3 linked regions of the Diceros bicornis minor genome follow. The protein of the gene in region 1 binds, or shares a complex with, the protein of each later gene. Links are inferred from orthologs where the notes say so. Each region holds a gene or a part of one and is shown on either strand. Other genes may lie near its edges.

Evidence for each region. The genes of interacting proteins can lie anywhere in the genome.
Region 2: PLRG1 (region 1) and CTNNBL1 share a complex: the UniProt entries of both Homo sapiens proteins name them as parts of the PRP19-CDC5L splicing complex. The link is inferred for Diceros bicornis minor from reciprocal best matches to the Homo sapiens genes PLRG1 and CTNNBL1.
Region 3: PLRG1 (region 1) and DHX16 share a complex: the UniProt entries of both Homo sapiens proteins name them as parts of the minor spliceosome. The link is inferred for Diceros bicornis minor from reciprocal best matches to the Homo sapiens genes PLRG1 and DHX16.

What each region holds. Positions count from the first base shown.
Region 1 is NC_080750.1:42,617,911-42,625,942, forward strand, and holds the start of PLRG1 (pleiotropic regulator 1), read right to left. Parts: upstream 3,267-8,032; 5' UTR 3,176-3,266; coding exon 3,167-3,175; intron 1,787-3,166; coding exon 1,680-1,786; intron 1,394-1,679; exon of another isoform or gene 1,322-1,393; intron 645-1,321; coding exon 502-644; intron 1-501. UniProt on the Homo sapiens protein: Involved in pre-mRNA splicing as component of the spliceosome. Component of the PRP19-CDC5L complex that forms an integral part of the spliceosome and is required for activating pre-mRNA splicing.
Region 2 is NC_080758.1:22,436,759-22,444,924, forward strand, and holds the start of CTNNBL1 (beta-catenin-like protein 1), read right to left. Parts: upstream 3,354-8,166; 5' UTR 3,272-3,353; coding exon 3,242-3,271; intron 1-3,241. UniProt on the Homo sapiens protein: Component of the PRP19-CDC5L complex that forms an integral part of the spliceosome and is required for activating pre-mRNA splicing.
Region 3 is NC_080753.1:34,433,784-34,441,346, reverse strand, and holds the start of DHX16 (pre-mRNA-splicing factor ATP-dependent RNA helicase DHX16), read right to left. Parts: upstream 3,354-7,563; 5' UTR 3,178-3,353; coding exon 2,971-3,177; intron 1,770-2,970; coding exon 1,522-1,769; intron 1,431-1,521; coding exon 1,268-1,430; intron 952-1,267; coding exon 895-951; intron 1-894. Other genes in the region: PPP1R18 (phostensin), read right to left, coding at 6,926-6,945. UniProt on the Homo sapiens protein: Required for pre-mRNA splicing as a component of the spliceosome. Contributes to pre-mRNA splicing after spliceosome formation and prior to the first transesterification reaction.

The DNA of each region.
Region 1 (8,032 bases):
TTACTGACATGATGTCAAGAAAGCTTGTGCATTTGCTACATAGCAATGGTGTATAGAGAGGTCATCCTATTGAGTAACAATCCACTCTGGCTTTTCTTCCATGCAAATAGTTTCCCTGTGGAATCTTGGATTATCTTTATTCACTACAATTTCAGTACTTCATATCATCTTTCTGAATTACAGTCAAAATAGATAGATGTTCTACCCACAGGTTAGGAGCTTTTCCTTTAGTCTCCACTGTGAGCTTCTCTATATCCTAAGAAGTTCTGCTATTATTATACTACCACTTTTTTATGTTGTATAAGAAAAAGTCCACCAACCAATAATCTCACTCACTACTTCAATGAGGAAATCTAGACTTCCATTATAATACTGGTACAGCTATTAAATAGAATATGGCTTTAATTAATCCTGCCAGGAGGGGCACTAATAAGACGTTTCACATTTCTATTTTTAAAATTCACATGTAAGTCCTGACATTTCAGACAACACCATACTCACCTTGATTGGCAGGATACTGTTTATGACCATACGAATCTGATGTATTCTGAGGGCCCTTTTCTTTAAAATTTTCTTTTGAAGTAGGCATATGCAACACAGGACCATACTCATTACGCAGCTTGATTGCCATTTTTCGTTTGTGACTATTTAAAAATTACAAACATGAAGAATGTATCTTTGAGTACTTTAAACATACTCACCAATGTAAATATACTCACAGATAGCCAGGAAACAAGTACTTAAATAGTTTAAGTTTGCCTAATCATGTAGAAAAAGTTTCTATTATGATTTTAAAGTTAAAGAGATTTTAAAAAGCTCAAAATTTCCAAGTGCATTTCCACACTTTTGTTCACAATCCACCACTTAGCATTCATTAAGTCTAAGTAATATTTCAGTTTGTTAACCAATAAATATAAAATCTTTCATGATGAGTTATCAAGGGTCTGATTTAAAAATATATAGAAACTAATATATCCTTTAAAAAAACCTCAAAGTCAATAAACTTTCCGTCAAATGTCTAAATATAAAAATATAGTAAAAGCTTCCACAGAAATGTTTACTGGATGTGTATCTAAAAGAGTCAGTTAGAACTAATCAAAGTACTTACTTCAATATTTTAAAAAGAAATGCACTTATTATATTACTTTTAAGAATAGTCTACCTTATAAATTATATATATATGCTTGTTTGAGGAACTAAGCAGATTTTAATAGAAGGTAAAGGACAAAGAAGGAACACTGCACATAATGCAATCCCAGACTGGAGCTGGAGATGTAGAACCAAAAATGTGCCACCACTCAAAAATCTTCACCATACTAACGAGAAAAGATGGGAGTAGAGGTACTGGCCAGGTACAATTTCAGCTCAGCAAGGCTCTGAGAGCAGCGGGAAGCTGAAAGCACATACAAAGTGATTGATTATAAAATATAACACCTAGAAGGGACTCTCCTAATTACTGGGTATTTGTAAAATGCAATTAATTAATGGGAGTTTTACTGTAAAAGATAAGGCCAAAAAAAGTTAAATCAGCATAAATTATGCCCAAACACCACTCATTATTGAATAGATATCCTATGTTAGTATTACTCACTAATCTTTAAAGTTCCCCCTCTCCCTGCTCTCTTCCCCCAATATTAGAAGTTTAAATATTCTAGCAATTGAAAAGGAACTACACCTACCTCTCTTCATCCAAAGGCACAGGCTTTCCATTATCAGCTACAAACATGTCATGGGTCCTCTTCAGTGACCTGAACACAAGTGTGTGCACAGAATGTTTCTGTACCTCCTAGAAAGAAACAGTGTAATTATATATCTAGCTACAAATTACATACATTGTAACCTAAATTAAAGTCAAATTAGTTATACACGTTACATGTTAAAATATGTAAAAAACTTCGTACCACTCACCACAGCTATTTGCAGCAAACTATAAGAGTCAAGTTCAGGGAAGAGGAGGAAGCTCCTCTTTGGCCAGAGCCCCAGGTATACCAACTGAGTGATGCCTGAGATTAGTCATTTACTCAATAAATATTTACTGAGCTCCTACTATGTGTCTGGCAGGTACTGTGTTAGAAGCTACCAAGAGAATGATGAAAAGGCAGTCATGGTCCCTGTGCTCAAGAGGAAACAGACAAATAAAAATAAGCAAAATAACTCCACATTTTGATAAGTGCTATGAAGGAAACAAGCAAGGGGCTGAGACAGAGAACAGAGGAAGAACTTAGGATAGTTATGAAAAATCTCTCTGAGGTGATATTTAAGCAGAAAGAGGAAGTCAGCTTAGCACAGAATAGAAAACAATCCAGGCAGAGAGAAAAGGTGATGTACAAAGGTATTCAGTAAATGAAAAAATGCCGGGAGCTGTGCAGTTATATATGTTCGCTGGGAGGGCGGGTTGTGATGCAAGATGAGGTTACAAGGGTAGACAAGGTCCAGATCAGGTAAGCTTTTTTAGACCATTGCAACAATCTGTAATTTTGCTCTAGTAACATAAGGCCAGTAAAAGGTTTTAAGCAAGAAAAGCATGACCAACGTATATTTTAAACAGATTAATTTATGGGGGGAGGGGAGTACAAAAATGGAAGCAAGGAGACCAGCTGGGAGCTACTGCACCAGTCCAGGAGAAAGATGATGTTGGTCTGAATTAAGGTGACGGCAGCAGGTATGGACAAGAATCAAGAAATATTTCTGAGATAAGACAAGGCCTGCTAATAGAATGGTTGTTCAAGCTAAGGAAAACTGCAAAAGTTTAAGAATGGCAGATTTTCCTGGGGAAGGGCTGAACTAAGACACAATGTGAACATCAGAGACGACCGCCAGTCTCTTGGGACACAGAATCACTGACACTACCCCGCAGGGGGCGAGTACCCGCAGTGGAACATCAACAGAAGTCCTGCCTCCGAGGACAGTGCCCAGGTCCAGTGCCCAAGGATCAAATGAGGACGGGAGGAATTATCTCAGGCTTCCCGCCAGGACGGAACCTCCAACTCGTGCTCTCATCCAGCCTCTCCCACCTGAAGAAGAGACTCCCCGGCCTCGGCCAAACAGGCTCCCCTCGCAGCCTCTACTCTCCCCAGACTCCCAACACCCTCGATCCACAAAGCCCGCCGCCAAAGAAAACCAGTCCAGAAATAAACTACTCCTAACCACCCAAGCGTCACTTTACCTCCACCATGATGCTGCTGTGTATCTCGCTGCTCCCGCAGAAAAGAAACACTAACCAACGCAGAAACCGCCGCCACAACTGCACAGCCCCTTCCGGAATCGGGCGCCCCAGCGCCGGATGTGACGCAACTCCGTGCACGCGCGCTATTGGCCCACAGGCCTTCTGGCGGCGAGAGGCGGGTCTTTCTTCTCGGGCCGCCTCTAGGGCGGAGTTTCGGGACTGAGAAGCGGAAGCTACTGGAATGTATGGGTCGAAGGTTTTACTCTCCTCTTTGAAGAGTTTTTGAGACGACGGTTTTTTTGCCTTACTCTCAGCCTTAATTGTTTCGGTTTAGGGGTGTAGTTTGTGCTGTGTTCCCCAGAGATTAATGCTTTTTCTTCATAGAACCTCAGGAATCAGTTCTAGGTCTGGAGAGAGCAAACCTCCATCAGCCGTAAGGCTTTTCCACTGTCTTGCCCTCTTTGGGGGTTGCCTCCGCTATTTATGTCGCCTGACTTCACTATTTGGCTAAACTTGACTGGACGCATTTGGACGCCTTTGTAGCCTTAATGCCTAAAAACAATCCCACTGACACTGTCCACTAAACACTTGTTGAGTGAATGTTGCAGAATAGTTGTTTCAATTTGAGAAATTTTGTAAAAGAATTTTAACAGCATATGACAAAATCCAAAATTTATTTTCCACTAATAGATTTCTTTTCCCTAATCTCTCAGAACTGCATAACTCTTGGCTATTTCCTAGTTGTCTGCTGATTAACGTGGCTTCAACAATGCCAGGGTATAGCTTTTCTGGTGTAAGAAAGATACAACTGAAGACTTCCGCCATTTTTATTCATACACATCCTGGTGCCCAAGTGTTGGTATTTTGCTTTGTTTCCTATCCAGGTAAACTCTGCAGTTTGTGATCAATCCTGTCCGATTATTTTTCTATGTAAAAACAAAAATTGATGGAGTTGAACGTTTGCAAACTTGAATAGACAAACATTTCACTGGATCTGCTTGTTCCTTAACCATAACCAATTCAACTCATCTTGTCCCCAGAGCATACTGCATATACTTTATGGGGGGGAAATTTATCAGAAGTATAGCTTTGTGAATTGATAATCTTATTTAGAAATTTAATACTTTTTAATTCATTGAAAACATTAAGGTCATGTTTCTACTTGAAAAATACAGCCATCTCTGATTTTGAGGGTGAGTTTGGCTTAAGAAATGATTTTCTGTAACTGATTTTCTGATGATAGGCCTTGGCAAGGAAATGCCATAATTATAAAATATATACTTGGGAAACTGAATCATATTGTAACTTACCTATAGATAGTAATAACTATACAAAAGAACATGATTTTAAATAGCAATGAAGTTATAGAAATGTAAGCAAGATTCTAATATATCTAAGGCAATATAATAACTATCTAGTTGGGCCTATTAACTTGTTAGTTAATCCTGAAAAAAATTTATAAGCCCAAACTCATAAAATAATTGTAATAATTGAGGTAAATTGCACTAGATTATGCTCCTTTTAAAAAGCTCTTGTGAATCTACAAAATTATATTATCTACTTGAATGTTTTGGATAGATAGAGCTTAGTGACCCTAGTTATGTCAGGGATCCATGAATTACGTATATTGTAATTCATGTAATTACGTATATTGCAAATTTTTTTATATATATAAAAACCTGAATTTTTTTCTGGTGAAGAGATCTGTAGGTTTCTTTGGATTCATAAAAGGATCCAGGAACCAAAACAGGTTAAGAATCCCTGTCCTGGCAGACACCGAGAGCTGCCTTATTTGAGCAGTAGGGGTCACTGCTGCTCTTCATAAGAGTAGGAGGATTGTCCCCAGAGCAGGCATGGTGACTAATTTATTAATGTAAATATTATTAAGTCTATTTGTGTGAAAACAATAGTACAAATTTTAAGGAAGTCCTCCTTTCGTTGGTTAAGCTACTTTCTTTTACTCATCAATACAGGCGATCTCTTTATTCTCTTTCAAATGCTTGTATCATTTGCCCTTGAGTAGTGATAGGTCACATAAGTGAAGATTTCAGTCATTTTCATCAGCTTTTTATCAGATTTTTTATAGGAATAGTTTTCTGATTTTTATGCTGATAAAAATGATGAATATTATTATTTCTTCTTACTGTTTCTCTCAGCTTAGAGGGTTAAATATATAATCTTTCTTAGACACTACTCTATATATCATATTCTTTAGAGTTGTTTGGCTCACTGAGTCCTTTTTCCCATGAATTTCAGATTTGCAACTCCTCACTAATTTAAAAGGGAGGAATGGTGGAAGTTATCATTTCTTTTTGAATTCCTGAGGTCAGAACCTGTGAAAAAGAATACTTGGGCATTTCTTCCAGAAGTTTGGTCTTTGATTGCTTATTACAATGCTAAGAATGGACCCAGATGCCGAGGTAGTGTTGGTAAGTGCTTTTTCGCAACACAGTTGAGAAGAAAGCTTCTGGAACTACAGGAGACAGTGAGGGAGCTATTCTTCCAGCTAATGCCTGGCAAGGCCCGGGACATGATTAAGCTGCACTATGAGTTATAAACTTCTTAGCAAGGTGTGTGTGTGTGTGACACAGAGAGAGCGAGGAGGGAAATGTTGCTTATCACAATTTTGCCTTCCTCTACTTTATGAAGTCCCATCCATGTCACAAAAACAAGTATCAAAATTGAACATGATCATGACTCATAATTTGTCTTTGTGTTTCTATTTTGCAAAAATATGTCAGTGTTTATGCTGACAGAGAAAAATAGCGGTGTGACATTTTCAGTTTTCTTGGCTGAGTTCATACGCTACCATGTTTGATAGTATATTTGTTTAATTATCTGTATTCCCCAATAGACATATGGGGTCAGTATGGTGTGATATTCATTATTACACACTCAGTATCTAGTTGACTTGCAACTGGTAGGCTTTCAATATTTGTTGAATGATTGAATAAGTAAGGTGTTAAGTTTTAGACACTTAAATATGGGGATGGAAGGTGTTGAGACCTTAATTTTGATGTGGGGTTGCAGGTATTAAATCTGTAGGAAGGATGTTGTGTGTGTCTGGATATATATGGTATGTGCTCACCCTTGAAAAGATGCTACTATTTCAACAACCATTAATTTAACTTAACCCTTATCTGTGTGTAAGGCAGTGAATTGCTTGTATGAGGATGGTCTGTCTTTCTGATCATTGTAAATTTTATTAAAATGAAATATTTTTCATTGTATTTAGGCATGTCAGTGCCAAATTTTATTTAGTTTATATAAAAGTTAATTCTGACATTAAGTTATCAGATACTAATTTATTGGTAAAAATATATCATTTGCAAAAATGGGTTTAGTTGGCAGAAAAACTTCTTGACGTCAATAATTAAGAAGATTAAGGCATTTTGATGGTTTGAATATTTTACTATTATAATTTAGGCATTTTTAGGCTTTCTTTTAAAAATATACCACCAAAAGCCAGCATCAAGTTTATAGATTAACATTAAAAACATTCTCATTAGTCAGCCACAAAACTAGAATTCCTGCTATTCATCATTATCGTCCACACTTATTTTTTCCTGAAAGTACTAGTCGTGCAGTTGGATGAAAGAAGATGTAAGCAGTATAAAATAGCAATAATGAAGCAAAGCTATCTTTATTTGCAAACAGTATGATGGTATGCCTGAAAAAAAAACAAACAAGAAATCAACTAGAAAAACTACTGGAAATAATAAAAGGGTTCACTAAGCTATCTGAGTACAAAAAAAATATTCAAAAATCAAGCTTTCATATATGCAGTTGAAAAATATAATAGGGAAAATATCTTATTTAAAACAGCAATAAATGAAAAATATGCAAGACCTAGGTTAAAAAAACTTAAGGGACATAAAAAAAGGTTTGAATCAATGAAAATGCATACTTTTTTCTTGGATAAGAAGACTCAAAATTATAAATATGTATGTTATGCCATTAACCTAATCCTGAGCACATTTTACAGAAAATATTCTTAATTCAAGAAATAGTTATTAAATACTGAAAGATTTTTTAAATGAATGTTACTAAAATACTCCAAATAAAATAGAAGTTTTCATTTTCTACAGAGTTTTACTGCTGATGCTATATACTTACTGTATAAAAACTTTTTGTGATTTATTGCAGTTTGAAAATACAGCTTCTCTTTCTAATGTGCAATTTATGCTTTAAAAAAAATAGTCAGTCTGAGTCTTAAAAATTTGATCTTGATTTTTCTTTTGGATTAGTTCAGCAAACCCCAGAAGCATCTCAGCCTAACTCACCAAAAGATAACAGGGACATAGGTACTATTAGGAGGACATCAGGTGTCTCACAGGTTTGACAGAAGAATCAAATGATCACGTTTAGAAGTTTTGGTTATTTCTGCTGCTGGAGTTGGTAGACTTTCTCTCTAGAATGCTGCCATGAATATGACATGAAGCCAATTGACCTGATTCTCTGCTTATTTCCTTTGCAAACATTAAATTGGGGGAGAGAAGCCGGTAGGGTTGGCTTGGTACAGGGTCTGCCCATAGCTCAGTCACCTATGGCTCGATGGTAAGGGTATCACAACGTGAACAGGACCACTGGAGCCCCACTTCTGCATTTTAGGGGTCATTCCAGGGGAAGGGAGCAGCGCTCCAACAGGTGTTGATTATACCCTTTGTGGATTTGAGTCTCAATGTGACAGAAGCAGAAGAGCAACTCTGTGTTTTCTCTAGCTCTTGTGATCAGCATTAGGTTGAAGGAGAAAATGTTCTATTTTTCCTTTATTGCCAGGCTCTGTATTGGATCCCTTAAGAAAAGCAAACTGACATCTTTCAAGTCAATAGAGGGAGACACTCCACAAGACACAGAGCTAGCTCC
Region 2 (8,166 bases), on another chromosome or scaffold:
CAGGACTTAAGATTTATGCATTCTTCTATATGTGTACAACACTTCAATTTTTAAAAGTTTTTAAAAATCTGAGAACAAAACGGAAAACCAGATTTGAGTATTCAGTTGGTTGCAGTTCTGGCTCTGCCCCTTACTGGCTGTTTGACCTTGGGCAGGTAATTGACCTCTAACTGGAGTTTCTGTTTCTACAAAATAGGCATGCTACCAACCTCAAAGGGCATGTTGAGAATTAAATCAAGAACTTATCTGAAAGCACTTTAGCTCAGCATCCGGCACAGAGTAGGTAGGCAGTACAGCACAGTGGTTAGGAGCTCCAGTTATAAGGTAGGTACTTTCTCGTACCTCAGTTCCCTCATGTTTATAATTGAGATTAAAAACAGTACCTTTCCTCATAGGGTTGTTATAAGGATTTAGAGAGATGATGCAGGTAGGTAATGCATCTTTCACATCTATAAAATGTTACTGTTTTCAAAGAGCTTTTGCATCCATTAACTCAGATGATCCTCATAACTTTCCACAGGAGGATGGGTGCAGTTGACTGATTATGGACTAGATTCCAGACTGTACCATCTTTTAGGAACAGGAAGAGTGGACATGGATCTTACAGAAAGGAAACTGCATGAACAGTGCATGTGGGAAATGAACAGGGCAGAAATAAGAAGATCAGGATTCTGGTTTCAACTCTGCCACTCCCTTGGCCCACAACCTCAGGGAAGTCCCTCTCCCAGAATGGAGTTCACTTTTCATCTGTAAACGAGCTTATCTATAACATCTCTCAAAATAAAATTCAAACTCCTTATCATGGCCCACAGGAAGGCCTACATAGCCTGTCATCTGCCTACATCTCCAACTTCATCACCTACCACTCCCCCACCCACTCACCATGTTCCAGCTACATCAGTCCTCCTTCTGATCCTCTAACAGGCTGCCCCAGCCTCTACCTCACAGCCTATGTATTTGCTATTCTGTCTGCCCAGATCATTCTGCCCTTTTCACATGACTGGCTCCTTTCAACCTTCAATCCTTTAATGTCCATTCCTCAGAGTCCTTCCCAGACCATACTAGTTAAAGTAATAGGTCCTGCCTCGCATTCCCAGGGGTTATTTTCTTTAGCAGTGCTGTCCAATGAAAATACATGGAAAGCCACAAATGAGCCACATATGTAACTTTAAATTTTCTAGTAGCCACATTAAAAAAGTTTTTAAGAAAGTGACATTAACTTTAATAATCTATTTACTTTAAGCCAATATATCCTAGTATTATCATTTCGGCATGGAATCAATATAAAAATTATTAATATTTTTTACATTCATTTTTTTCATACTAAATCTTGGAAATCCAGTGTGTATTTTGCACATATAGCAGGTATTTTGCACATACAGCAGATATCAATTTGAACTAGCCACATTTCAGGTGTTCAATAGTCACCTGTGCCCAGTGGCTACCACACCAAACAGCACAGCATAGTATATTCTGCATACCCTTCAAAGTGCTTATCACAATCTGAATTTCTGGTTTGTTTACTGACTTATTATCTTGTAACTTCCCCACCAGACTATAAGCTCCACAAAAGCAAGAACTCTGTCTGTTTTGCTCAATGTTGTATATTCAGTAGATACAGTGCCTTGCACAGTAGGTGTTCAATAAATATTTGTTGAGCAAATGAATGAACCTCTTCTAGCTTTAATATTCTACGAGTCAACGTGCTAGTCATTCTACAACTCCCAAACAGGTATACAACCACTCATTCAACAACCCCCTATTTTCTTCTTTCACCTTCAATTATTGTCTTAAAAAGAGACATCTCTTGGCTATATATCTCCCATTGCTTACAAGTTCATTCCCATGATGTCTAGAGTTTCTAAGGTCAGTTCTTTGTATATTGGCTGAGGAAGTGGCATGAATATAACTGGCAACATTTATTGAACGTTTACTCTTTGACAAGCATCGGCCTAAGCACTTTACAGTTCACGACAGCTGTTAACAACAGACTTATGTGGTAGGTACCATCATTGCCCACATTTACAGATGAGGAAACCAAGGCACAGAGAGGTTAAGTGTTTTGTTCAAGGTCACAGAAGCCAGTCAGCAGCAAAATAGAGATTCTGAGCAACATGGGGCTCCAGACTCATGGCTCTTCATTACCTACTCTCTACTGCAGAGCTGTCCAACAGAAATATAAGGCCAGCAGTAGCCACAGCAAAAGGCTAGCTTAAAAAGTCACAGAAACAGGTAAAATTTATTTTAAATGTATTTTACTTAACCCATTACCCATACTAAGATTATCTAATCAATATGATCAATAATCATGGTACCTGATATGATCAATATGATCATGTAACCAACAAGAAAGTTTTACTTTTTTCACACTGAGTCTTCAAAATCCAGTGTGATTCTACATTTAGAGTACTTCTCAATTCAGACTAGTCCCATTTCAAGTGTTGAATAGCCATATATGGCTACTGGGTACCATATTGGACAACACAGCTCTACTGCCTCTCACAAGGAGCCTCCTTAGGAAGTCAAAAGAGTGGGGGAACTTTGAGCTGGAAGCCAGGAGACCTCAGCTCTAATCTCAGCTCTTACTTGTTGAGTAACTTTGGACAAGTCCTTTCTGCCCTGTGGGCTACTGTTTCCCTACAAGTATCCTGAGCAAGAGGGACAAAGATTCCTAGAGACCTATCCCATGTTAGAATTCCAAACATCTCCCAACAACTGCAGTTAACAGGGGTACAGCTTTCTACACTTTAAAATCGGCTATCACATCCATTAGTTGATATAGTCCTCAAACAACTCCACTAGGTAGTTATTACTGCCTCCGTTTTATATATAAAGAAACTCAGGCTCAAAGAGGGTGAAATGACTTGTCCCAAAGCCACATGGCCAGTCAGGGGAGAAGCTGGGGGTCCAGGGCTCTCCCACCACCACCACAAACTCAACGACTAGGGGTAAGAGGGCTAAAGAGGGATGGTTGCGAAGATAGTCTGGGGCCTTCAGAAAGCTGAAGGGAACCAGGCCCCAGGGTGGGGTGAGAAGGGGCCCACACTGCAGCTGAAAAGAAGGGGCTCGCACCTTGAGAAGGAACGAACTGAAAGGACCCAAGCGAGTCTCAAGGGAGGGAAGTGAAATGAGAGGCTCGGACCCCGGTGCCACGAGAAAAGAGAGGGCCCGGGACGGAGGGGAGAGGAGGTGAGATGCCCGGGTGAGCGGACGGTCCTCTGGCCCTCCTCGTCCCTCATACCTGGTAGCTCAGAAGTTCACCCACGTCCATGGTTCCCGGCCTAGCCAACACCTGCTACTCCGCTTCCCTCTACTCACGCCCAAACAGGGGACCCCTCACCAGCGGCTCCAGCCACACTGCCGTAAAGCGCCGTGAGCCGAGCCGCAGAGCCAATGAGGTAAAAGTGCGCGCGACGCGCGAGTCGGCCACACTGCGGTAAAAGGCAGCGCCACCGTAAAGCGCGCCGCATTTGCGACAGTACCGCTTCCGCCCTGAGCCTGAAGGGGGCGGGGAAAGGGGCGGAGACTTGAAGGAGGGCGGTGCGGTGAAAGAAAAGACCCAAAGGACCCAAGCTTTATTGGCGCGAGCGCGGGGTGGAGTGCTGGGTGTTTCACGTGTGCCCTCACAGTCCTTCCAGTGACCTAGGCAACTTTATCCTCGTTTCACAGATAAGGAAACTGAGGCATAGAACTGCACTGTCCAGTACTATAGCCGCTATACCCATGTGGCTACTGAGGGTCTGAAAGATGGCTAGGTCATGTTTGAAACGTGCCATAAGTGTAACTAAAATACACACCCGGTTTCTAAAACTTCTAATGATTACATGTTGAAATGATATTTTGGATATATTGGGTCAAAAAATATATAAAATTAATTTCACCCGTTTCTTTTTACTTCTTAAATGTGGTTAGTAGAAAATGTAAATTACATATGTGGCTGTCTTCACGGCTCCTGTTAAATTTCTATTGGACAGGTCTGGCTCAGAAAGTGTATTGTCCAAGTCCGTGCAACTGTTACTGTCTGAGAAACTGTTGGTGATCACATTTCCCTCTCTGGCTTCTGTTTATTCATGTATGCAAGGCGGGGTGGGAACTGGATGATCTTGTTTCTACCCAAGTGATATAAAAAAGTTTTCTGTAGGAGAGAGTTGCCCATCACTGGAAGAGAATCATTCAGAGTGCATCTGAACTCCTGGGATTTAAATAAGACTCCATCTTAAAAGGGTGTTAAGCCTCTTCCTTAGTCGCCTGAGCCTTTAGCCTCCTGCCCTTCACGTTCATAATATTTGTCTTAGTCCATTCAGGCTCCTATGGCAAAAATACCATACACTGGGTGGCTTATAAACAACAGAAATTTATTTCTCACAGTTCTGGAAGCTGGGAAGTCCAAAATCAAGGCGCTGGCAGATTTGTTGTCTGGTGAGGGTCTGGTCTGTGGTTCATAGATGGTACCTTCTCACTGTGTCCTCATGTGGTGTCCGGGGTGAGGGAGCTCTCCTGCCTCTTTTAAAAAGATGCTAATCCAACCAGCCCTGATGGCCTAGCATTTAGAGTTGTTGCGCCCTGCTTCTGTGGCCCGGGTTCGGTTCCCAAGCACTGAATCTCACCACTCGTCTGTCAGTGGCCATGCTGTGGCAGCTCACATGGAAGATCTAGAAGGACTTACAACTAGAATATACAACTATGTGCTGAGGCCTTGGGGAGGAAAGAAAAGAAAAAAAAAAAAAAGAGAAAGATTGACAACAGATGTTAGCTCAGGGCAATCTTTCCCAGCAAAAAAAAAAAAAAAGGCACTAATCCCATTCATAAGGGCTCTGCCCTTATAACCCAATCATCTCTCAAAAGCTCCACTTCATTTAAACACATGAATTTGGGGGGACACAAACATTCAGACCATAGCAGTATTTATAATCACCTTCTCCATCTCCACAGTCTCCAAATATACAGAAATTATTTTTGTTCCTCAAAGTGCCAAATCCTCTCTTCTTCTGCCTGGCCACTAGCCCCACACCTCATCCAACTCTTTCTCATCCTTCGGGTTTCAAATGTCACTTTCTTAGAGTAGCCTTCCTCAACTATCCCTCAGTTCAGGTAAGCAGCCCCTTCTCATTATTCTCTTTCCTAGCACTTCCTTTACTGCACATATATCTCCATCTGTCATTTTGTTCTTAATGGTTAATTACTTGTTTATTGACAGCCTCATTTACTGCAGGCAGGCTCCATGAGAGGAGGGATTGTGGAGGTCACGTTCATCATTATATCCCAGTACAAAAGCCTTGTACAGTGCCTGGCACAGGGGGAGGTTTCACAATGGGCCTTGTGGGTCATGATAAGGAGACTAAATTTCATGGTAGGAGCATCAGGAAGATATTGAAAGGTTTTAAGCAGGGGCGTTTAGTGATTGGATTTATGTTTTTTAAGGATCACCTACACAATCTGCTTTGAACTGAGTTTTTCAGGTGTCTTTTCTCTTCCTACTTAGCTGTGAGTGTAGACTGTGCCCTGTTCAGGGAGGCTGAACAGAGTAATGGTGAGAGTGTACCCTTTGGAACCATGTACCCTTTAGAACTTTGTTCTAGTAAGGGGTATGCTGGAGCTTGCAAGTGCCTATGGTTAAATTTTCAGGAAATTTGCAAGCAGATTGACATCAGGTTGGTTGCTTGAAGTTGGCCATGGTGGAAGTATTTACATTATGGAAATCAACAAGTGCTACAAATCGGGGTTGGTAAACGTTTACCAGTACACCATTGATTCTGGTTCTAGTCAAAGTCTCACCACATCTACCTGTGAGCAAGTTACTTTCTCTTTCTAAGCTGCAGTTTCCTTATCTGTAAGGTGGTTCATTCATGCATTCAACAGTATTTATTGAGTGCCTACTCAATGCCAGACACAACCCTGGGCTCTGAGGATACAGAGGTTTATTTAAAAAGAAAGTTCCTGCCCTCTTGGAACCTACACTCTAGTTGGAGAGAAACCCTCATGAGGGAGACATTGTTATGATCCTCATTTTACAGATGTGGAAACTGAGGCAAGCGACATCACCTCTGTGTGCCTGATTGCCTTGCCTGCAAAGTGGAGATTCAATGGAATTTACCTTATAAGACTTTGGGAAGTTTACGTGAGATGCTGTATACAAAGCCCTTAGCAGGGTACCCAGCACAGAAAAGTGCTCCATCAATATTTGATGTTAATACTATGAGGAGTTGTGTGAGGATGATGGGGTGGGGGAGGCAGGAGGGACAAGGTCATTCCTTATACCCCTTCCTTTCAAGAGTATTGAAGGCATTCAATCTTCTCTGTGTATTTTTAGAGACCAGACCTTAAAACATAGAATCATAAGGCAAAACCCTATGCGAACCAGGTTTGGTGACACCCTGGAATGGGGATAACGTGCTGGAGGTGCCATTTGGACTAGGGTTTAAGGGATGAGAAGAGTTTCCCAAGAAGACATGGTGGGAGTCTGGTGACCCAGGCAGAGGGAACAACACGCCCAAAGACATGGAAGTTGGACTATCTCTTATAGACAGGGCATAAGGTGTGTGCAGGGAATGGTGGGAAGTAGGGCAGGAGAGGGGGGCCAGGGAACATCATGGATAGGGTTGCCAGATTTAGCAAATAAAAATACAAGATACCCAGTTAAATCTGAATTTCAGATAAACTTCAAATTTTTTTTACTATCTGCTCCATGCAATATTTAGTAACATATTAAAAACTTTGTGTTGTTTATCTGAAATTCAAATTTAACTAGGCATCCTGTATTTTATCTGGCAATCCTGATCATAGAGGATCTTGAATATCATATTAAGATATTTCAACTTTATCTTGTTGAGAGGGCCCATTAATAATTCCTTGGGAACCTCCCTAGAGAGAAGTCTTGGAGCACTCACCCTTCAGGTCTCAGCTTAATGTCACCACATCAGAGGAGCCTTCCCTGACTGTGAGATCTAAGACAGTCCCTCCCCTCTGCTCAAGATTCTCTACCAGTGTTCCTGACTATTATCTTCAGAACACATGTGATTTGTGTTTCTATATTGATTTGCTTTTTACTCTTTTGGAGTCTGTTTTCCCTTTGTATTCTAAGCTCCAGAAGGCCAGAGATTGCTGTATTGTTCATCACAATAACCTCAGAACCTAACACAGTGCCTAGACCTTAATTGGCACTAACCGAATAGTTGGTGATTTAATAAATGAGCCAATCAATCTACTGATTGATTCATTCACTCCTGGCCATAATACTATCAAATATCTTCAAAGCCCTACCACAAATCCTGACAATATGCTATTCCAATTTTAAAGATGAGGAAATGGAAGCTCAGAAGAGCTTGTGCAATGCACCAAGCAGTCCAAAAACCTGCGACAACGATGATTTCAGAGTGGCATCCACAAGGGAGATGGGAGAAGGGCACCACCCAAGAGATCAGCTGCTGGGCTGTAACCTTTGTAAAGAATGTAATGTGGAAGAATTATCCCTTCCAGGAAATTTTTAAATAGCTGTGGGCTGCCTAGCTTCCTTAAACTTCAAGCTTTAGGTGCTCCAAGATGTAATCAGAGTCACTTCCTGCATCTTTCATTGCCCCAGTAAATTATTTATTGGAACAGCCTTTAAGAATATATCCTCAAAAAAACACTCATAAAGTATATTTATCACCAATATTGAGCTCCTACACTGCAATCGTGGGCTGATTAGAAACATATGACAGCACCGAAGAACTCCTGACTCCTCCATTTAGGCACTGAAGAGTTACAGAGTGGGCAGTGGAAAGAGAGATATGTTTTTCTGAGAAGAAGAATGCGCCCGGGGTTCAGGAGGAGTCCCTCCCTGCTCCCTCTGCCTCTCATTCCCAAAATTCAGGTCCTTGGATCCTCTCTAATCTAATATTTTTATATAATTGTGAAAACTGAAATGTAGAGAGTTTGGTTACTTGCCCACAGTCCTAGAATTAGTAACTGGCAATACTCCAATCCAAGCCTGTCTGACTATGCATTTCACAGTAGGGATCTGGGCTCCGTTAACGTTTCAAACAATGCTGACACTTATGATCCAGGCACAGGTGATTACTGAATGCTAAAGAATAATTATCTCTCCTAGCAGGCACTGGTCTCGATTAGACAAAAGGAGAATTTATGGTCTTAGATACACTGTGAGCCAAGCAAGAACTCAGTAGT
Region 3 (7,563 bases), on another chromosome or scaffold:
CACATTTACATAGACAATATAAACGATGCACATGGGATTGGCAATTTTTTAATGTGAATAGTCTGTATGAGTGTTCATTACACTATTATTTCAACTTTCCTATTTGTTTGCAAGTTTTCATAATTGAAAAAAAAAAATTAAATTCAGGCAAATAAAAACATGACACCAGCCCTGAGAGATGCCTCAGAAGGCTCTGAGCACAGTCATTTTGTGGAGTGGGACATGAGATGGATTGGTCTGGAGAGACCTGAGGGCCACTAGGCCATTCTTAGGACACTAAGAATCTCAAAATTCTTTTGGGAAATCTAAGTGTGACCTTACTTGGAAATACCAGGCCTTTGGAAAACTGCCTACCCTACCAAGACTCACACCATAACAAGTCCAGTTCATGAATTACCAGGGCTCTGACCCTGTCCAGGAGAAGACCAACTTAGGAAACCAGAGGAAGATCACAAGGCCACAGAGGGGATGGAGGGATTAGGTGGTAGGGAGGTATTTGGAGATGGTGTGCCAAGCTGAATGGTCAGCACATCCCTGGGCAGTGGAACAGCTGCCTTGCTCCTGCCCTCCAGCCAACCCCTTGACGTTCCAGCTGCCTTTTGATTACATCTTGTTAAGTCTCAGGAACAGAGAAAGCTCACATTTCCCTCACTAACATACAGTGTGATTTAATCCTATGGAGTCAAGGAGGGTTTATGGGTAACCTCCTTCTCTCTACAACTTAAATCCATCCTCAGCAGGCTTCTGTCAACCAAGCCCCATCCTCCAGAGACCTGACACCCCATCAGCATCTCCACCGCATCTTCTGTATCCTTTGTCCCTACCCCTAACTTCTCCATCAGAAAGTTTTTCCTTTTGTCTTCTGCTCTTGGCTTCCTAGGTACTGGGACTCACCATGGCTTTCCGGTCTTCCTCAGCCATCTTGAGGCGCTTCTGAGCCTCTTCATAAGCCTAGGAGAAGAAACCAAGAGTGGAGGGGTGTGACGCCAAAAGCCCCCAGGCCCACAGCCATTCCCCCTCCAGAATCACAAGGATCATTCAGATGTTCCCTAACACAAAGAAATGTCCCTTCTCCACGAGGAAGCTCTATGGCTACAGGTTCAGCAGAGACTCACCTTAGCCAGCAGACCCAGAGGGGTCTTCTCCTCATAGAGATGAACTTACCACTAGAGGCAGCCCCTTGTGTTCCCAGAGATCACTATCTGCAATCATACTCAACCTCAGTTTTGACCCAGAGATTTTCCTGGGATTTAGAGAACATGCAGACCTTCTTGTCTGACCGCTCCAGGACATTACGAGTCCGATCCTTGTCCCGCTGCCGAACCCGCTCCGCGAAGGCATCCCGTTCCTCCAAGTCCTGAAGGCGTTCTCGCTCTGTCCGCTCCCACTCATCCTCCGACTCTGGCTTCTCCATTTGCTGTGTACTCTCCCTGCAGCCCAGCCCAGAGGATTAAATAAGGGCATCCAGAAGGCATATCCCATCATCCACCTGCCCCATCTCTCATCCTATTTCTGACTTACCCTGTCTTTCTCTTTCCTTTCTCAGAAAATTCCTCCTCTTCGTCTTCCTCTTCCTCCTGACGTTTCTTCCTGAGGTGTTTCCGTTTTTTACGCTTCTTCTGGGGACTGCTCCCAGCCCTGCCCATGGTCTCCTCACTGCTCTCCTCACTCTCTTCCAGCAACTTATAAGATCGGTTCTTCTCCAGCAGGGCTCGGGCCTCTCGCTCTGCTGCCCGAGCTGGCTTTTCTACGACTGCCTTCCGTGGCACCTGTCAGGAGAGGAGGAGATGAGGGATGTGAGCAACTCCTGATCTCTGACCACCTACTTTACCCTGTTTTTAATGTAAGGATTGACTTGATCTTAAATCAGCCTTCATTCTTTCTCTTCCCCATGGCTTCACGCCATGTTCGTCAGAGCCTCTCAGTTTCCGAACGTCCTTTCAGTCATTCATTTAACAAACGTTTATTGAAGCCTGTCCCATGCACCAGGTACTTGTTAGGTACTAGGGATACAGGAATAAACAAAAGAGACAAGCATCCCTGCCCTTGTGGATTTTACATTCTCAAACCCAATTCTCAATTGCTCAGCCTCTGCTATTCCCAATGATTAAGTCATGCCTACACAAGGACTGACATGCTACTTTTGCAGAAGGCTGTCACAGGCCTGGCACTGTCTCAGACTCCAGGGATACCCTGGTAAACAAATTAACATAAAGTCCCTACTCTCATATCACTTACATTCTAACCTAATCTCCCTTGACAAGCACCATATGGGACAACCAGGTCCCATCCAGGCTATTTGCCATTCTCTGAACATGCTGAACACTTCCACTCTTCCTATATACTTCCTGAGCACCTGCTCTGAAAGGTACTCTGTTAGGTGGCAGGAATACAAAGACGAGAAATACACACTCCTGTCCTCCAGGAGCTCGCCTTTTATACTTTTACTCATTCCTCCTTCTCTACTTGACAAGCTCCAGGGAGTCTTTGGGCCTGCTTTTCCTGCTCACTACCCCCACCTCTTCTGCCCTCCCACAGCACCTCCCACACATCCCTTCTACGGCCTCGCTATTCACCAAGGTGGTCCATGGGCCGTCATCACCTGGAAACTTGTTAGACATGCAGAAACTAAGATCCCATCCCAGACCTACCAAATCGGAATCTGCATTTTAACAAAGGCCCTGGAGAAATCCTATGCATGTTAAAGTTCGAGAAACACTGCTCTATAGCACTTAACCCAGCACACTTAGCCCTCCTCGTTCTCCTCCCCTAAGCTGGACGTCCAGCACCCAGCACACTACCTAGACGACAACGGACAACGGATGAATGCCTGTAAACTGAGCTTAATTCCCCGATGCAGTTAGCCCAGCCTCACCTGGATAAGTAACCTGGGCCCCGTCCCTGCTCCACCCCCTCTCTCGCGGTTCCCACGCCGGCCCCGCCCCAGCCGCGCCCCACCCCTCTCGACACCTTGTTCCAGAGTTTGAGGGCGAAGTCCCGGGCCGGCCCGCTGAGGTCCAGGGTATCAGTGTCCCGCAGGCGCTGCACGAACTCCTCGGCCGAGGCGCAGCGCTGCGCGGTTCCGATCAGGAACTGGGCCACGTGCCGCTCGCTCAGTCCCAGCACCGAGTGCAGCTCGTCCTGCACCCAGCGCTCCAGCCCCGCCGGCGTCGCCATGGCGACCCACGCTCTGTTCTCTGCTCTGAAGTGTCTCCAGCAGCCGCCCTGGCGGCCAGGCCGGGCTGAGGCCTGGAGCCCGGGGCTGGAGCCTCAGCTCCTCAAGGGAGCCGCCTTAGGACCTTGGGATTCGGTTTCCGACACCTCAAAGCCGTCTTCTCGGACCGCGGAGGCCGGAAGCGGCCGCGCTTTTCCGGCCTGAGCACTACGGTGGCCGAGCGAGTTCAAACCTCGCAGAATCGTTATCTGAAGCTCGGGGGAAAACAATGTCCTCTCCGCCCCTACCGAATCTCTGTCGCCCCCTGATGGTCAGTTCGGGGGTGTTTCACTGATTCATTCAACTAATGCTGAGAGCCTAAGGTGTGCTAGGCAATTTTTGTCGCTAGGGATATAGCAAAGAACAAATCAGACAAAAGTCCCTCACCGAGTTTACATTGCGCGGGGTGGGAAGGAGGCAAGATACATAATAAATAAAACATGTAAGTTCTATGGAGCCAAAAATAAGGCAAGATGTATGTGTGTTGGGGGGGATTCCATTTCAAATCAGAAGATCAGGTCCCGCTTATTAAAGATTAGCCCATGCTGATTAGGAGTGACCTTTGGACTGGTGCCTGCAGCAGGGTTGAATACAGGTTAGGCATAAGCGAGGACCTCCAGGCCAGGAAGTTGGGATCTGGGGGAAAAACAAAGGTGCCCACTTTTCTTGGTGCTGTGTCAGAAAGTCATTTTAAAAGCTCTCCGACTCAGGAAAATGCAATCTCTGTTCTGCTTCTTTTTTTGAGGAAGATTGGCCCTGAGCTAACATCTGTTTCCAGTCTTCATCCTTTTTTTCCTTTTTTCTCCCCAAAGCCCCAGTGATAGTTGTATGTCATGGTCTTACATCCTTCTAGTTGCTCTATGTGGGACACCGCCTCAGCATGGCTTGATGAGCAGTGAGTGGGTCTGTGCCCAGGATCCGAACCAGCGAACCCCAGGCCACCCAAGCGGAGCGCACGAACTTAACCACTGTGGCACCAGCCTGGCCCCGTAGTATGTTCTGCATTTTCGCTAACAGCTTGAGAAATTCACTGGTGGCTGCTTATTTAAAAACAAGCAGAACTTGTTACTTGACTCTCTACTATCTGACTTCTTTTTACCCTGCTTCATACTTTTTTTTATGATTAATTGGACTTAGCAGACACCTGTTGGGAAATGAATCGTTGTTATTCCAATGAGCAGCCACAGGTAGCTCCATATCACTGACTTCATTGACTTCTTGGATGCATTGTTTTATTTCTCAGATGGACTGTGGGCACCCCTGGCATCTCAGAGCTCCCTGCCTCCTCTTTCCTGGGTCACAACTGTTTAGGATCTTTACCTAATTAGCTACTGATATAAGCATTGTTTCCCTCCACACCCACAGCTTCTGTGAACTGCTTCTGTGAACTGGTTCATTCTTTTTTTTTTTTTTTTTTGGTGAGGAAGATCAGCCCTGAGCTAACATCTGATACCAGTCCTCCTCTTTTTTGCAGAGGAAGATTGGCCCTGGGCTAACATCCATGCCCATCTTCCTCTACTTTATATGGGAAGCCGTCACAGCTTGACAAGCGGTGCGTTGGTGCGCGCCCGGGATCCGAACCTGTGAACCCTGGGCCGCCAAAGCAGACTGCGCGCACTTAACCGCTGCGCCACCAGGCCGGCCCCTGAACTGGCTCATTCTTTTGACAGCTTGCTTGTTCTCTTGCTAGTAAATTAAGGACCTTCAGCATATATTTAAGATCAATTTGTCTAACACATTTTGTTTTTGGTAAAGGGGAGTCCCCTCTGACTAGGCTGAGGAGCATCCTGTAGTGGTAGAAGGACTAGGACTAGTCAACCATGCCTTTACTAGCCTGCAGAACTAAAAAAATGACCTGATAAATAAAACATAGGTCTTCTACATTTGTAGAAGATAGAAATTCTTTGAAATGAGAAAATCTCCCAACATCAACTATACTTGGGTAACAAAGGCATGAATTATTGATAGTTCTTAAACCTTTGGGAATATAAAACTCATTGTCTATCAGAGACCCCTTTTCAGGAAACTGCACTTCTAAACATACTATATTTTGCAGCAATTTCAGATTAATTATTTATGGTCTCGGGTCTTGGAGTAAATGCCTCTGAATTAGCTACTATCACACACTAGCTGGCTGCTGGCATTGCTATAGGCTTCTGAATACTGGTATCTTTCAATTTATTTTTTTTTTTAAAGATTTTATTTATTTATTTTTTCCCCCAAAGCCCCAGTAGATAGTTGTATGTCATAGCTGCACATCCTTCTAGTTGCTGTATGTGGGACGCGGCCTCAGCATGGCCGGAGAAGCAGTGCATCGGTGCACGCCCGGGATCCGAACCCGGGCCGCAAGCAGCGGAGCGCGTGCACTTAACCGCTAAGCCACCGGGCTGGCCCGGTATCTTTCAATTTAGAGTGTCCTCTGCTTCCAGTTTTTTAGCTCTTTTCTTCATTTATTTGTTCAGTCATTCATTCTAGAAGTAATTTTGTGTGTCTATTAGGTGCCAGGCGTGGTGATGCTGCAGTAAACTCAACCAACATGGTCTGCCCTCATGGCACTTCCAGTCTGGTGGCTACAACCTGCCCTTCCTCAAACCAGTCCTTCTCCTGCTAGTCCTTCGAGAAACCAGTGCAGGGCTCTCCCAGAGCCCTTTCTACATGTCAGCTCTGAGTTCTTGGTTCATCCTCATCATTTTCCCCTCCCACCGCCCATCGCCACTTCCCTCTCATGGCCAACAGGAAGATGGGAGAGGCTTGGAACGAGGAACACAGAGTTTCCCCCGCATGCACTTTTTTTTCCTAAAGAAGGAGAAGCAATGGGAAAGTCAGAGAGAGCTCCATTTTATTAGGGACAATTAAAAAAAAAAAAAAAAACACAGGCAATTGATAAGGAAGGAGAAATGAGGGAGGAGAGTTGAGGTGCCTCGTTAGTCACCCCACATCCTTGCAATTCAATTCAATTGAGAACCACTAGGAGAAACAGAATTAAATAACTAGATGGGAGAATGGAGTTAAGATCCCCAGCCTTCCCTCTTGGGGAAATCTGAGGCACAGTAATACTGAGCAAAAATGGAGGAAGCCACACCCCAAGGTCACTCCCAGTGAGGCAACAGCAGGGGACAGGGGAGAGGATTCCACATAGACACGGCAAGTAGGCGTGGCTTGTAAACCTGGGACTTTGGCAGGTGGGGCGGGGAGCTGGTGGGGTTTGTAATCCAGGCTGCAGTCAAGAGAGGAGGCAAGAGCTGTAAACAAAGGGGCAGTGACCTAAGGAACAGGATGAGAGGTGACTGGAAATGGAGTGGGGGCCAGGCGTCTCAGGGAGATGAGTGCTGAAATCCTGAGAACCTCAGGGGGTGGTGGGGAGACAAGGAAGGTTGTAGGGCGAGTATACCCTGCCCATGGAGATGGAGAGGGTGCTCCATCTCCATTCCCCAGGGAGCTCTGTGCTCCTCCCTGGGAATTGGTGCTCACTCTTGGATCACCTAGGATACACCCACACGCCTGACGCACTCACACCAGGGACCTGGGGTGAGGGTGGAAATTGGGCGATTGGCTCTGCCCCCAGAAACAGGATGAGGAAAGCGAAGTGGAAGATGTTGGTTGCCCTTCCCTGCCAGGCTCATTTTCAGGGTCTGTCTGCTCTGAATCTTCTGGGCTCCAGGATCTTCAGTTCTGGGAAGGAGCGAGGTATATCTCTGTGTTGGAAGACGGTCACCTCCGGCAGGACTCATCTGTGGGAGAGGAGGCAATAATGACAGAGAATGAGTGAGGCCTCTGCTCCCCACCTTCCCCACCCTCTCCTCACACTGAAGGCCAGTTGGCATATGGGAAATCTTATAACATCTTCCACATCTTGAGTGCTTGTTACTACCAGCAACAGCAGCCATCATTCATTTAGCTCGAATTCTGTGCCAGGCTTTTTTTTTTTTTTTTGGTGAGGAAGACTAGCCCTGAGCTAACATCCATGCCAATCCTCCTCTTTTTTTGCTGCGGAAGACTGGCCCTGGGCTAACATCTGTGCCTATCTTCCTCCACTTTATATGGGACGCTGCCACAGCACGGCCTGACAAGCGGTCTATCGGTTTAAGCCAGGGATCCGAAACTGGGCCGCCAGCAGCGGAGCGCACGCACTTAACCGCTACACCACGGGCTGGCCCCAGGCATTCTTATAACTCGTTTAATCTCACCTCAGGCGAGGTTAAGTAACTTGATGTCCAGCCATAGTTCCTAGGTGCTTCACAAACATTACTTAACCCTCTCAACAACTCTAGGAGGTAGTTATTATTAACCCTATTTCATAAAGGATAAACTGAGGCCTGAGGTCACGTAATTTCCCTGAAGTCACACCA